Linked DNA regions of Elephas maximus indicus. Each later gene encodes a partner of the first gene's protein in a complex. Links are inferred from orthologs where the notes say so. Each region holds a gene or a part of one and is shown in the gene's direction. Other genes may lie near its edges.

Evidence for each region. Proteins that work in one complex are often made in the same cells at the same time.
Region 2: CELF1 (region 1) and CALR3 share a complex: the UniProt entries of both Homo sapiens proteins name them as parts of the EIF2 complex. The link is inferred for Elephas maximus indicus from reciprocal best matches to the Homo sapiens genes CELF1 and CALR3.

The regions. Positions count from the first base shown.
Region 1 is NC_064825.1:102,899,158-102,906,306, reverse strand, and holds the start of CELF1 (CUGBP Elav-like family member 1), read left to right. Parts: upstream 1-4,144; 5' UTR 4,145-4,223; coding exon 4,224-4,294; intron 4,295-7,149. UniProt on the Homo sapiens protein: RNA-binding protein implicated in the regulation of several post-transcriptional events. Involved in pre-mRNA alternative splicing, mRNA translation and stability.
Region 2 is NC_064821.1:36,719,023-36,726,557, reverse strand, and holds the start of CALR3 (calreticulin-3), read left to right. Parts: upstream 1-4,532; 5' UTR 4,533-4,591; coding exon 4,592-4,682; intron 4,683-4,891; coding exon 4,892-4,993; intron 4,994-7,219; coding exon 7,220-7,423; intron 7,424-7,535. UniProt on the Homo sapiens protein: During spermatogenesis, may act as a lectin-independent chaperone for specific client proteins such as ADAM3. Required for sperm fertility. CALR3 capacity for calcium-binding may be absent or much lower than that of CALR.

The DNA.
Region 1 (7,149 bases):
TGTCCTTTGATTTCCTGACTGCTGCTTCCATGAGCATTGATTGTGGATCCAAGTAAGATGAAATTCTTCATAACTTCAATCTTTTCTCCGTTATCATGATGTTGCTTACTGGTCCAGTTGTGAGGCCAGTCAACAACCAAATTAGATTTTTTTTTTTTAGTTCAGAGGTTTCCTTTTAATGTCAACAAATTTCAAGGAATTTCACTGGTTATGGTTGTGTTTTTATTTTTTGAATTTGTGAATAATAAAAGCACAACCATAACCAGTGAGTTGCTTGAAAGTTGTTGACATTAAAAAGAAATCCTTGAACTAAAGAATCTAATTTGGTGTTTGACCAGCCTCACAAAGTTACTCCTTGGTCCAGGTAGATTTCTATAGGAAGCTTCATGTGATCAGCTCTAGTCTGCTGAGGAGAAAGTAGGACAGACCTACCCAGTAATCCAGCCAGTCCCAGCTAGGGTTACATCCTCTGCCTGCCTGACAGTCAGGGCTTGGTGAGCTGTGTACTGTGTGTCAGTTACACAGTCTCCTCTCACTTGCATCCTGTTTTTTGCTGTCCCCCTTAATACAGTGAAAGAGTGCCCCTGACACTTCTACCTCTAAAGGAGTAGATCAAATGAGCCAGGACCTCTGACAAAACCAGTTAGCTGTTGTTCACTTCTAGATTTGGGACTGTCATGGATTGAATTGTGCCCCCCCAAAATATCTGTCAATTTGGCCTAGGTCATGATTCCCAGTATTGTATGATTGTGTTTCGTTTTGTCACCTGAAGTGATTTCCCTATGAATTGTAAATCTTATCACTATGATGTAATGAAATGGATTAGTGGCAATTTTATTGATGGATCTACAAGATTAGATAGTGTCTTAGGCCAGTCTTTCAAGATATAAAAGAGACAAGCAAGCGGAGAGACATGGGGACCTGATACCACCAAGAAAGCAGTGCCGGGAGCAGAGCGTGTCCTTTGGACCTGAGGTTCCTGTGCTGAGAAGTTCCCAGACCAAGGGAAGACTGGCACCACGAGGACCTGCTTCCAGAGCCAACAGAGAGAAAGCTTTCCCCTGGAGCTGTGCCCTGAATTCAGACTTTGGCCTACTGGGCTGTGAGAGAATGAACTTCTCTTTGTTAAAGGCATCCATTTGTGGTATTTGTGTTTTAGCAGCACTAGATAACCAAGACAGATTTTGGTACTGAGAGTGGGGTGCAGCTTTAACAGATACCTAAAATGTGGAAGCGATTTTGAAACTGTGAATTGATCAAGGACTTACAAGGAAGCGAGGAGAGCTGTTACGTCGGAGACGACACAGACAGCGAGAAGCAACGGCAGAGGACCGACATTGGCAGAACCAGGAGATCAGTGCAAGACAGCGTTGCAGCCAGCCCATGGAGCGAGAGAGCTGAATGCCTTTGTGAAGGATGCTTCCTGGCAAAGCGGGGTGCCTGTGAGCACTTACAGATGGAGCTAGGCTTGCTGACCCACGGAGCAAGAGAGCTGAGTGCCTTCCAGCTGAAGTTTACTGGCAGAGTGGGGTGCTCCAGGCACTTACTGGTGGAGTTACAGAGCTTTGGAACACCTGCCCCAGCAGGACAGACGAAGGCTTGAGGGCCAAAAAACCAAGAAACCGGGAAGCAGAAGTTGAAGAGACAAGGAACAGAGGAAGCCAAGCTGCCTCAGTCTCAAAAGGTATGGCCACAACCTCTGGGGTTTCGAAGGGTGGAGCCACGGCCTCTGGTGTTTCTAAGGGTGGAGTCACCACTCAGATGGACTAGGAGGATGGTGCACCTAAAGCTGAGGGAACAGAGTTGCTGTCCCAGTGGGCCTGGAAGGCAGAGCTGAAGCCCAGGATGGAAGGGTCTCCACTCAGAATCCAGAGAGTATGGCCAATACCTAGAGTCTGTAGGGCAGGGCTATTATGTAAATGATCTCAGATAAAGAGGAGTATTTTCAAGCCATGAGGGCTAATGCAGTGTGTTCTGCTGACTTGCTTGGTGCCTGTTATGCCTTCTTTTTCTCCAATTTTTCTTGTTTGTAATGGAAATACCTACCTTGTGACTGTTGCACCATTATACTTTGGAAGCAGATAAATTATATTCTGAATTTCACAGATGAAGAGGAAGTTTTGGATTTTGAATTTAAGTTGATTTCAGACTTTTGCTATGACATGGGGTGAATATGTTTTATATGTGGCAAGGACATGAATTTTTGGGGGCCAGAGGAGGGAATGCCACGGATTGAATTGTGTCCCCCCAAAAATATCTGTCAACTTGGCCTAGGTCATGATTCCCAGTATTGTCTACCATTTTGTCATCTGATGTGATTTCCCTATGTGTTGTAAATCCTATCACTATGATGTAATGAGATGGGTTAGTGGCAATTATATTGATGAGCTCTACAAGCTTAGATAGTGCCTTAGGCCAATCTTTTGAGATATAAAAGAGAGAAGCAAGCGGAGAGACACGGGGACCTGATACCACCATGAGAGCAGTGCGGGAGCAGAGTGTGTCCTTTGGACCTGAGGTTCCTATGCTGAGAAGCTCCCAGACCAAGGGAAGACTGGCATCACAAGGACCTTCTTCCAGAGCCGATAGAGAGAGAAAGCCTTCCCCTGGAGCTGACACCCTGAATTCAGAGTTTGGCCTGGTGGACTGTGAGAGAATAAAATTCTCTTTAAAGCCATCCTCTTGTGTTATTTCTGTTTTAGCAGCACTAGATAACCAAGACAGGAACATTGGGCAGCAGATAGAATTTCTACCTGCCTGAGTCAAATGCAGACAGGTGTCTGCCATTGTAATACAGATTAGAACTTTTAAGTTCATGCCATCCTGCCTTTTCTTTCTTTCTTTTTTTTTTTTTTAAGTAACTATATATGTTTGGGATTTTATTCATTTACCTCCTCACAGGCTGAACATATCTTCTCTTTCGAAGTAGCCTGTGTTATGAACTGAACTTGGGTGAAATCTTTTGAGGTCAGGCAACCCTAATGATAAAAAATGGAAAGAAATTTGGGAACCTTCAGAGATAGTTTTAGAGTCACTGCCTAAATATTGAAATGCCACCATTTGCTGTTTGGAGGGATGTGAAGCTAAATTGAGAACGGGAGCACCACATCTGCCTTGACTGCTGAGTATATCTATTTCTCCTGCTCACCCGTAATAGAATTTTTATGTGTGCAGTTACTAGTCTTGGTTTTTAGTAAGTTTAAAGGAGGAGAGAGAATGACAAGACTCAGCCTACATTCTTTTGTCCTTCCCTAATGTGTTTGAGTGTCTGTCCCTGATAGGCCCCAGTTTTTCTTCATTATTATCGTTGTGGTGGTTTTTGTTTGCCTTTTTTTCTTTAAAAAAAAAAAAAAAAAAAAGTTCAGAGAATTGAAAAGGCATAATTTCCTAGTACTCTATCAAGAGATGCAATATTACTCTTCCGTTTTATTTTATGGCAGAGTAAGATTTAGGGTTAGTAAAAATTTTTTGCCTGTGCCACCTAATGAATGTCACTGAGCCAGGGATTTTTTAAAGTCCTTCACCCCAATGAGAAATCATTAGGCAGCACACCTTGTTATATGTGCGTGCTACGTTTTTGGCGGCCAGTTCCTCAGCCATCTTGCCTCTGGCCTGCTTCTCGTGGTGTTTCCACTCACTACTTAAGCAATTCTTCCAGAGTTAGTTTAGACCATTGCTGCCTTTGGCATATGGAAACTGTGTTTAACACCAAGGCTGACAACTAAGTTCTTCCTTCTAGAACCATTTTCAGACTACATGAGGGAAGCTCTTTTTTTTTTTTTTTTGCGTGAGATAGTTTCAGTTTTGGGGTACCTCAAAAACTCATTGAAGGGAGGAGTCTGGAGGATGTGAAACAAGTTTGTGTTTCTTCTGCTCTGTTAGCCACTGCTATCTTCATGGATCTGACACTCTGTTTATCTGACAGTGCACTTAGTACTGCTTCGCCAGGGAAAATCACACAAAACAAGCCTGGTGCATCAGCACTTTCATTGTGTGCTGGGCTGAGCCTCCCTTCACATGGTCACATCCCCCTTTTAATCCAGTATTCCCTCTCCTTTCCCCAGTCCTGCCTGTTTCTGTGGCACTTACTGCTTGTTTCCCTGAGCTCCTGTTTTCTGTACTTTGTGTTTTTTGTGGGGCTCAGGAAGCTAAGGCTGTGTGTATTTGTGGATCAGACAAGGGCAGCAAGTTAATATCATTGGCTTCTGAAGACGAGAGAGGTGATGGCTGTGTTTAAGTTGGATTTCCTTCCAGAAATGATGGTGGATCATTGCTCTTTGAATTCCGGTCCCGTGTAAGTATTTTTGTGGTCTAATTTTTATAATAAGCAGAAAAATTGGTCTGTTTCTTTGTTGTGTGGTGAAACTGGTCTCTTTCCTAGAAAGAGGGAAGAAATAATTGGGTGAGGATGCTAAAGTCTGAATTCTCTCAAGCTGTTGTTTTCTGTTGTAGCATGTTGGTTCTATCTCATGACTTCTGGTTTCCTCGAGGCCCTAACTAAGTTCTTTACATAGGGGTGCACTTGCTTTGTGACCAGCAACATCAGTTCAAGTGTGCTGGTTCCAGTCCCTGAAGGGAATGCAGCTTGAAAGCTGTAGTGTTTTCCCCTATGGTAGATTCCAAGGTATTTTTTAACTGTAGCTTTTTTGCTTTGGGTTGAGTATGCAAGGATTTTTTTTTAGTTAACAAATTCTCATATCACAGAGGGGACTGGTAGCCAGGATGTATTTAGTGTTGTTTGCAGCATTCTGTATTGACATGCAGAGAGTAACCTGGACCTTGATGTTTTTCCCAATCTGACTGAAAATGCAACTGAGCACATGATTTCAGGAATATCAGATCCCCCCCACCCCCCAAAACAAAACTGGATCAATCTTGATGGGCAGTTTGCCCAAATAAATTTTGAACATGGGAATGAGAAAGTTCATCAGCTTCCAATACTGGGTAAGAAGTGACACAGCGAAAATGCTAGCCTGGCCCTGAGGGAACCTAAATTCTGGGCTTTGTAGAGGACACATCTTGCACTTCCGATTTCAGTTGCTTTAACCGTGCTTCAAAGTACCTTGGAACCACAAACAAACCAGCGTTGTTATTCGAAGCCAGGAATATTAAACAGTAGTCTGTTCTCTAGATAACAGGTGTTAGTGCAAGCCTTTGCGCTCAGGCCTCCATGTGCAAATCAGTCTGCCCTGGGATTAGGGGTGTCAGGTGTTGGTGATAGCAGATACCGAATGACTCTTTGTGGAATAGTTTGGGGGTCTCCAAAGTTAGCTGGCTTGCCCATTTGAAAATGGATCGTATGCCTTGTCTGTAGTCTCCAAAATAATGGTAATTCAAATGGGCCTTTTTATGAGGGCTCTTTCCTGCTAAAATTTTATTTTAGTGGTAGATATTGGTGAAATTATGGTGAATACCGTCATAAAGACTTAATACATAATAAAGGTATTCCCATGTCCCAGATGTATGATTGCTAGAAATAGGATTTTGTGGCTCAAATTATCTTTCATTGTAACACTTTCTCTCTATGCTTTGCCACTCCCCAGTGTCTAACCCTGAGATACAGCATTTCCTGAGTCTGTTTTCTCATCTTTTAAGAAAGAAAAAAAAAAGATTAATCCACTGTTCTGTGAAGTGTGGACAGTAGACCACTGCATGAAAGTTACCTGGAACATAAAAATGCAGATTCCTGGATGCATGCCCAGAAATTCTTGGGCTACAAGAATCTGTATTTTAATAAATGTACCATGTGGGTTTTTCACCCATTTTACTTATTTATTTTTGTTAGGCAATTATTTCTATTCCCCCGTTTCTCCAGCATCTGATAACCACTAATCTATTTTTATCTCTGTGCATTCGCCTATTCTAGATATTTCATATACGTATGATCATACAGAACTTGTCCTTTTATGTCTGGCTTATATCGCTTATAATGTTTTCATCCATGTGGTAGCATGCATCAGAACTTCATTTTTCTTTATGTTGTTGTTAGGTGTTGTTGAGTCAGTTTCTACTCATCGTACAATAGAACGAAACACTGCTGTATCCTGCGCCACCCTCACAGTCGCCGTTAAGCTCGAGCCCATTGTTAAAGCCACTGTGTCATTCCATCTCCTTGAGGGTCTTCCTCTTTTTCACTGACCCTCTGCTTTACCAGGCATGATGTCTCTCTCCAGGGACCAATCCCTCCTGATAACATATCCAAAGTATGTGAGATGTAATCTCGTCATCCTTGCTTCTAAGGAGCATTCTGGTTGTACTTTCAAGACAGATTTGTTTGTTCTTCTGGCAGTCCATGGTATATTCAGTATTCTTTCCCAGCATCACCATTCAAAGGTGTCAATTCTTCGGTCTTCCTTATTTATCATCCAGCTTTTGCGTGCACATGAGGCAGTTGAAAACACCATGGCTTGGGTCAGGCACACCTTAATCTTCAACATGACATCTTTGGTTTTCAACACTTCGAAGAGGTCTTTTGCAGCAAATTTGCCCAGTGCGGTGCGTCTTTTGATTTCCTGACTGTTGCTTCCATGGGTGTTGATTGTGGATCCAAGTAAAGTGAAATTCCTGACAACTTCAATCTTTTCTCCTTTTATCATAATGTTGATCACTGGTCCAGTTGTGAGGATTTTTGTTTACTTTATGTTGAGGTGCAATCCATGCCGAAGGCGGTGGCCTTTGATCTTCATTAGTAAGTGGTTCAAGTTCTCTTCACTTTCAGCAAGCAAGGTTGTGTCATTTGCCTACTGCGGGTTATTAATGAATCTTCCTCCAATCCTGGTGCCCCGTTCTTCATATAGTCCAGCATCTCAGATTATTTGTTCAGCATACAGACTGAATAAGTATGGTGAAAGGATACAGCCCTGATGCACACCTTTTCTGACTTTAAACCACACAGTATCCCCTTGTTCTGTTCAAACGACTGTCCGACTGTGAAACAGACCATCAATTTCTCTTTATGGCTGACTATAACTGCAATTTATGTGTGTACCACATTGTTATTTAGTACTCGTTCATCCGTTGTTGGACACTTGGATTGTTTCTACCTTTTGTCTATTGTGAATAATACTCTTCTGCACATTGGTGTACAACTATCTGTCTGAGTCCTGCTTTCAGTACTTTTGGGTATATACCTAGAAGTGGAATTGTTAG
Region 2 (7,535 bases), on another chromosome or scaffold:
TCCAGTCTGAAGTTGATCAAGGGGATGGCACAGGATCGGGCAGTGTTTCGTTCCACTGTGCACAGGGTCGTCATGATTCAATGACAGCTAACAACCCCACTAAGTCAACTACCATTCAGCTCCAGGTATTAAACGAAACTCATTCAACATAACCGTTGGCGCCTCTGGGACTAGGTAGCGAGTTGGCCATCCGCTTAGCACTATGGTATATCATCTCCTCTCATCCTCATAGCACTTCTGTAAGTTGGTTACCGTCCTCCCTGTTTTACAAGGAAGTGGAGGAGATGGAAGCTCACACAGGTAGGTGACCAGCCAAGGTCACTGGCTGGGGAATGTTGGTGTTGTGCTACCCAGTCGATTCCGACTCATGGCCACCCATTTGACAGAGTAGAACTGTCCCATAGGGTTTTCTAGGCTGTAATCTTACAAGAGCAGACAACTAGGTCTTTCTCCCATGGAGCCACTGGGTTCTTTTAAGCGCCGACCTTTTGGTTAGCAACCAAGTGCTTAACCATTGCACCACCAGGGCTCCTTGGCTTGGGGGGTAGCAGAGCCAAATTCAAAGCTCGGGCCCAATTTCAAAGACCACACTGCCAACCACTGCACTTCTGGCCTCACCTGATCCCCACAACACCCCAACAGAGCCCTGCTCCCAGCCGCAGCCGTGCATCAAAGCAACCTCAGCTCACTCACGACAGCAAGTGAAATGCAATGTATGTTTCACAAGGTCCCCAGAAACTCTTATTACACTTAAAGTAGGACCACTGCCCTGGGTAGGGCCGATGGGCAGATGCAGCATCCTGCCCCCTAAAATGTCTGCAATGTGCTGCATGGGGATACTGGGTGTACTTTTCCGGGGAGAAGGGTGAGCACTTACATCAGATTCTCAGGGTTCCATTGAGCCTCTGTAATACATACCAGCCACTGCAAGATCTACAAAGATTTTAAAGATTTAGACCACAGCATGAGTGGGTATGGGCTCCGGCTCCTTAGGTGCTGGCATCCAGGAATTCCACCCCAAGGAATTTACCTGAGATTTCTCTTTCAAAAGTGCACAGAGAGACCCATAACCGGTAAGGGTCTAACATTCAAAATATATTTTTAAAACTTCTACAACTTTACAACGAAAAGACAAACAACCCAACCAAAAAATGGGCAAAGGACTTGAACAGACCCAACAAGTACATGAAAAGATGCTCAACATTAGCTATTTAAACTCAAAACCTGTTGCCGATGAGTCGATTCTGACTCATAGCGACCCTGTAGGACAGAGTAGAACTGCCCCATAGGGTTACCAAGAAGCGGCTGGTGGATTTGAACTGCCCACCTTTTGGTTAGGAGCCAAGGTCTTAACCAGTGCACCACCAGGGCTCCCGTTAGCTGCTGGTGGATTTGAACTGCCCACCTTTTGGTTAGGAGCCAAGGTCTTAACCAGTGCACCACCAGGGCTCCCGTTAGCTGGTAGGGAGATGTAAATCACAACTTCAGTGAGATACAACCTCACCCCCATTAGAATGGCAGTGATTTAAAAAAAAAAAGGAAAACAGCTGGTGTTGGTGAGGTGGTAGAGAAACTAGAGCCCTCATCCATTGCTGGTGGGAATGTAAAATGGTGCACCTGCTGTGGGAAATGGTTTGGCAGTTCCTCAAAAAACTGAACATAGAACTATCATACGACCCAGCAATCCCAAACCCAGGTATCTACCTAGAAGTGAAAGCAAGAACGCAAACAGAAACCTCTCCACCAACATTCACTGCAGCATTTTCACAACAGCCAAAAGGTGGAAACAACCAAAATGTGTCCACTGACAGATAAATGGATAAACACAATATGGTATATGCACACAATGGAATAGTCCTCAGCCATATAGAGAAACGAAATCCTGATGTGCGCTACAACATGGACAAACCTTGAAAACATCATGCTGAGTGAAATAAATCAGTCACAAAAGGAGGAATGCCGTATGATCTCACTTACGTGAAACAAGCAAATATATAGAAACCAAAGACTATCAGTGGTTGTCAGGGGGCGGGAGAGCAGGGAAAGGAGTGTTTCTGCTTAGGGGGCAGTGAGTTTATGTTAACGGTGGTGGAATAATTTGGAAAAGGATAGCAAGAATGGGTACACAATTTGAAGAATATAATTAATATCACTGACTTGCACATGTCGAAGTTGTTGAGATGGTATATGTTTTAGTGTAAATATTTTCACCACAATTAAAAAAGCGTGGGGGAGAATGAAGACGTATGTTCAAGGAAACTCATGGCAGCATTGTTTGTGTTCACCGAAAGCCTAAATCCATCCCTAGAGAACTGGTGAGGTCCAGGAGACCCATCCAGACAGTGGACGACTATACATCCATTAAAAAGGAACAAGGGAATCATCTATATTAGACTAAACAGTCAACATTTACCCTAAGGCAAAGATGAGAAGGTAAGGGTGGTGGTGGGAGGGGGCAGGGAACAGGGAAGCTAGATTAATGGCAACAGAACAACCAGAATGGAAATAATGAGAATGTTGACACATGGTGAAAAACGTAACCGTCACTTAACAGTGTGTATAGAAATTGTTAAACGGGGACCTAATTTGCTGTGTAAACTTTCACCAGAAACACAATAAAATATTTTTTAAAAAGGAACGAGGGAAAACCATCTGGCAGTTCTTCAAAAAGCTGAACACAGAACTACCATATGACCCAGCAATTCCAGTCCTAGGCATATACCCAAGAAAACTGAAAATATATCCACACAAAGACTCATATGCAAATATTCATGACAGCTATCATTTGTAATATACAAAAAGTGGAAATAACCCAAATGTTCACAAACTGACACATGGATAAACAAATTGTGGTCTAGCCATACAATGGAATACTATACAGCCATAAAGAAGAACAAATACAGATATAACAACATGGATAAATCTCAAACACATCATGGTACAGGGAATGAAACCAGATGCAAAATGCCACATAGGTTATGATTCCACTTGTTTGAAATGTCCACAACAGGCCAATTCATAGAGACAGAAAGTAAATTGGTAGTTGCCTGGGACTAGGGGTGGGAAGGATGTTCTTTGGGTGATGGAAATGTTCTAAAGCTGGAGAGGGGTGGTGGCTGCTAAACTTGGTAAATTTACTAAAAATAATGGAATTGTACATTTAAAAGGAGTCCCTGGGTGGTGCAAACAGTGAACACGCTCGCCCGCGAACTGAAAGGCTGGAGGTCCACTCAGAGGCACCTTGGAGGAAAGGTCTGGCGATCTACTTTTGAAACCTCAGCCACTTAAAACCCTATGGGGGGGGAACCCTATGGAGCACGGTTCAACACTGATACAGCATGGGGTCCACAGGAGTAGGAAGTGATTCTATGCAACTGATACAGGTACATTTAAAATGAGTAATTCTTATGTAAATGATACCTCAATCTGCGGCATCACTTGTGTTGGTATCGCCCAGTGTGGTACCTCACGGTGTCACACACCCCTACCCGACCCCCGGCCGGAGTGGGCGGGGCTGGCCGCGAAACCCCCCCTGGTTGGAGGAGCAGCCAGGCTCGGCCTGTCCCCACAGCTCCTCCCCTTTCCCGTGGGCCAAACTCTCCTTTTCGCCCTATGGCAGGTACCAAGACCCAGCTGCTGATACCTTAACTGGCGGGTGAAGGGGGGAGTGACGAGTTACCGCACTGGGTGACAGGTGAATCCAGCCCTAGTGACGCCACCGCGTTGACGGCCCCTGCCCCAGCTGCATCCGTGTGCCCACCGCCTCGGACCCTGGGGTCATTTTAAAGTCACCCTCTCTAACAGTGCCCTCCTAGTGACACCACTAACCTCAATGAAACCAAAAAACCAAACCCGTTGCCGTCGAGTCAATTCCAACTCATAGCAACCCTACAGGACAGAGTAGAATTGCCCCACAGAGTTTCCAAGGAGCGCCTGGTGGATTTGAACCGCCAACCTTTTGGTTTGTAGCGATAGCTCTTAACCACTACGCCACCAGAGTTGTCAAAATAAATAAACCAAACTTTGAAAACACTGCCGCTGCTCACACCATCCCGGCTCTTCCCCCAGACCCTGGGTGCCACCTGCACCGGACCACGCTCCTGAGTGGGGCCCAGGCAGAGAAACTGAGGTTCGCTCTCTCCGTCGCCCCCAATCCCAGCTTTGAAGAGTGCCCCCATTTCCTCCCAGTCATCTCCCGAGCTGGAGCGCCCCTCGCCCAGCTGCCGCCCACCGGCCCCTCCGACCTCCTCCCACGCTGTCCATCCGCGGTGGCCGCCGCCGCGCTCAGGCCTGGCACCCAGGCCGGAGGGGACCGTTGCCCGGGCAACAGCACTGGGGAGGAAGAGACTAGACTACAACTCTCGGCATGCACTGCGCTGCGGAGACTAATGGCATAGCCAGTCACAATCGCGGGGCGTCATGGGAGTAGTAGGTCTGGGGTAGGCCCGGCGTGCACCGCGCGCAGGGGACCAATAGGAGGCCGGGTCATAATCACGGGGCCTGCCGGGAGTTGTAGTTTTGGGACGGGCCGGCAAGCTGCGAGGAGGCTACTGGGAGCGAGGAGCAGTCGTAGAGGCGCCACCTGGCCTCCATGGCGGCGGCTGAGGTCCAGCTGTGGGTGGTTTGCTTGCTGCGGGTGGCGCTGGCCACCGTTTACTTCCAGGAGGAGTTTCTAGACGGAGGTGAAAGGGGCCACGTCCGCTGGCGAGGGCGTGAGGACCCCCCACTTCGCTGCCCAACGGACGGCCGTGTCGCCGTTGGCCCCAGGCCCCTTGTTGCGGGGTTGAGGGTGGCGGAGCCTCGATGTTTCGAGGCCTCGAGCGCCCCCTCACCCTCCCAATGACACAAACTAATAGTTTTCAGCCCTCACCGGTGTTGTTTCCCCCCACAGAGCGCTGGAGGAACCGATGGGTGCAGTCCACCAATGACTCACAATTCGGGCATTTTAGACTCTCGTCGGGGAAGTTTTATGGTCATAAGGAGAAAGATAAAGGTTAGTGTAGGGATCCTGGGAAAATGAAGCTAAATGCTTAACGCCCCTAGCAACTTTGCAAGGTAGGTGTGGTGACCCCTCCAACACCTGTTACATCTATTTTACAGGTGAGGAAAGGAAGACAAGGACTTTAGGGAGTTGTTTTATGAGCACTTGTTAGTTGCCTCCCAGTCAATTTCCACTCGTAGTGACTCTACAAAATGACAGAGAGAACTGTCTCCTAGGGTTTCCTAGATTGTAATCTTTACGGAGGAGCCTTGGTAGCACAACAGTTAGGAGCTCGCTGCTAAGCAAAAGGTTGGCAGTTGAAATGCATCAGCTGCTCCTTGGAAACCCTGTTAGGGGAGTTCTACTTTGTCCTATAGGGTAGCTGTGAGTCAGAACCAACTTTGCCGCCGCTGGGTTAATCTTTACTGAAGAAGAGTGCCAGGTCTTCCGCAGAGCCTCTGCGTGTGTTCAAACCACCGACCTTAAAGTTAGCAAAGGAACGCTTAACAATTTGTGCCACCAGGGCCCCTTTTGGAAGGACAAGGAGTCTGAATCAACTCAGTGGCAACTAACAACCATCGGAATGAGTCCTTGGGTGGTGCAAATGGCTAAACACGTGACTACTAACTAAGGAATTGGTAGTTAGAGCCTACCCAGAGTTGCCATGGAAGAAAGGCCTGATGAGCTGCTTCAAAAGGTCATAGCCGTTGAAAACTCTGTGGTGCACCGTTCTGTTCTGACACACATGGGGTCGCCATGAGTCAGAATCAACTTGACAGCAACTGGTTTGGTTTTTTGCCTGGTGCAGATGGTTAAGCACTAGGATGCTAACAAAGTTTAGCTATTTGAACCCACCCAGTGATACCTCGGAAGAAAAGCCTGTCAATCTACTGCCAAAAAAATTAGCCACTGAAAACCCTGTGGAGCAGAGGTCCACTCTTGACACACATGGGGTCACCACGAATCGGAGCTGACTCAACAGCAATTTTTTTTTTTTTTTACTTCCATGGAACTTGTCAAAAGACAGGAATTTCCACTTGGGCTACTCCTCTGAATCATTTGGGTTCTTTCCACAATTTTTTCCTTTCTCTCATTTGGAATTCTGAGAGTGCATGTTCCATTCATTCCCTGGGCACATGACTACTGAGAGCAGACATGGGAACACCCAGTAAAAAGGCCCTGTCCCTCCTGGTCTCCTAGGACCATGACATTGAAGCCATGAATTGGAAGATGAGTAGAATTTAGCCACAATGAGATGGGGGCGGTGCTGAAAGGGTGAAGGGGCACCAGAGTGGGACCAGACACAGTGGGAGGCAGAGACTCAGTTGGTCTTGGGGGATTGTCTAGATGGTGGGTGGTAAGGGAAAGAGAGGGGTCACGAATCCCTGGGGAAGGGGGGGAGCGGGAGGGGAGGAATGGACCAGAGAGAGGGGGTGTGGTAGTAAGAGGCAGTTATTAGTTCAGGTTTGGACATATTGATCCCTGGGTGGCACAAACAGTCTGTGCTCAGCTACTAACCCAAAAGGTTGGCAGTTCAAACTTGCCCAGCAGTCGTTCAGTCACCTCCAACTCATGGCGACCCCACGCACAACGGAATGAAATGCTGCGGAGTCCTGAGCTCTGTCCGTGATTAGTTGCGGATTGGACCATTGTAACCCATAGGGTTTTCATGGGCTGATTTCTAAAGTCATTCACCAGACCTTTCTTCCTGGTCTTTCTTAGTCTGGACATTCTGCTGAAACCTGTTCAGCATCCTAGCAACGTGTAAGCCTCCGCAAACAGATGAGTGGTGGCCGCACGTGAGGTAACTCTGCTGGGAGTGGAACCTGGGCTTCCTGCATGGAAGCCAAGAATTGTGCTACTGAACCAAAACCCTCTACACTTATAACAGCACTGTGTTAAGTACAAAAATGTCCAGGTGTGTGAACTGTAAGGTCTGTGGAAGCAGAGAGCCAGTGAGCAGTATGCCTGTTTGGTATTATTTGCTACTGAAATAGGGGTGGTACAGTGGAAGAAAGGCCTGGCAATCTGCCCCCATAAAGATTACAGCCAAGAAAACCCTGTGGAGCTGTTTGCTCTGTAACACATAAGGTTGCCATGAATCAGAATGGACTGGGCAGCAACAGGTTGTTTTCCATGACGTTTATTATTGGGGTTGGGGGGACAACATCGTTTCACTTTCCTGAGTCCCTGAGCACAGTGTCATCCTAATCCTACATTAGTACTTTTCATTGAAAGGTCTGCAGACCACCCAAAATGGGCGATTCTATGCCATCTCTGCACGGTTCAAACCATTTAGCAATAAAGGGAAGACCCTGGTGATTCAGTACACGGTGAAACATGAGCAGAAGATGGACTGCGGAGGGGGCTACATCAAGGTCTTTCCCGCAGATGTGGACCAGAAGAACCTGAATGGGAAATCACAGTACTACGTTATGTTCGGTGAGTTCACATGTGTGCAGTGCAGCCATTCCTAGAGCCCTGGAAAACCCTTCCAGCTGGGTTGAGCTGTAGACTAAGACTGCCTAAACACCGTGAGGTCAGCATAAGGGCA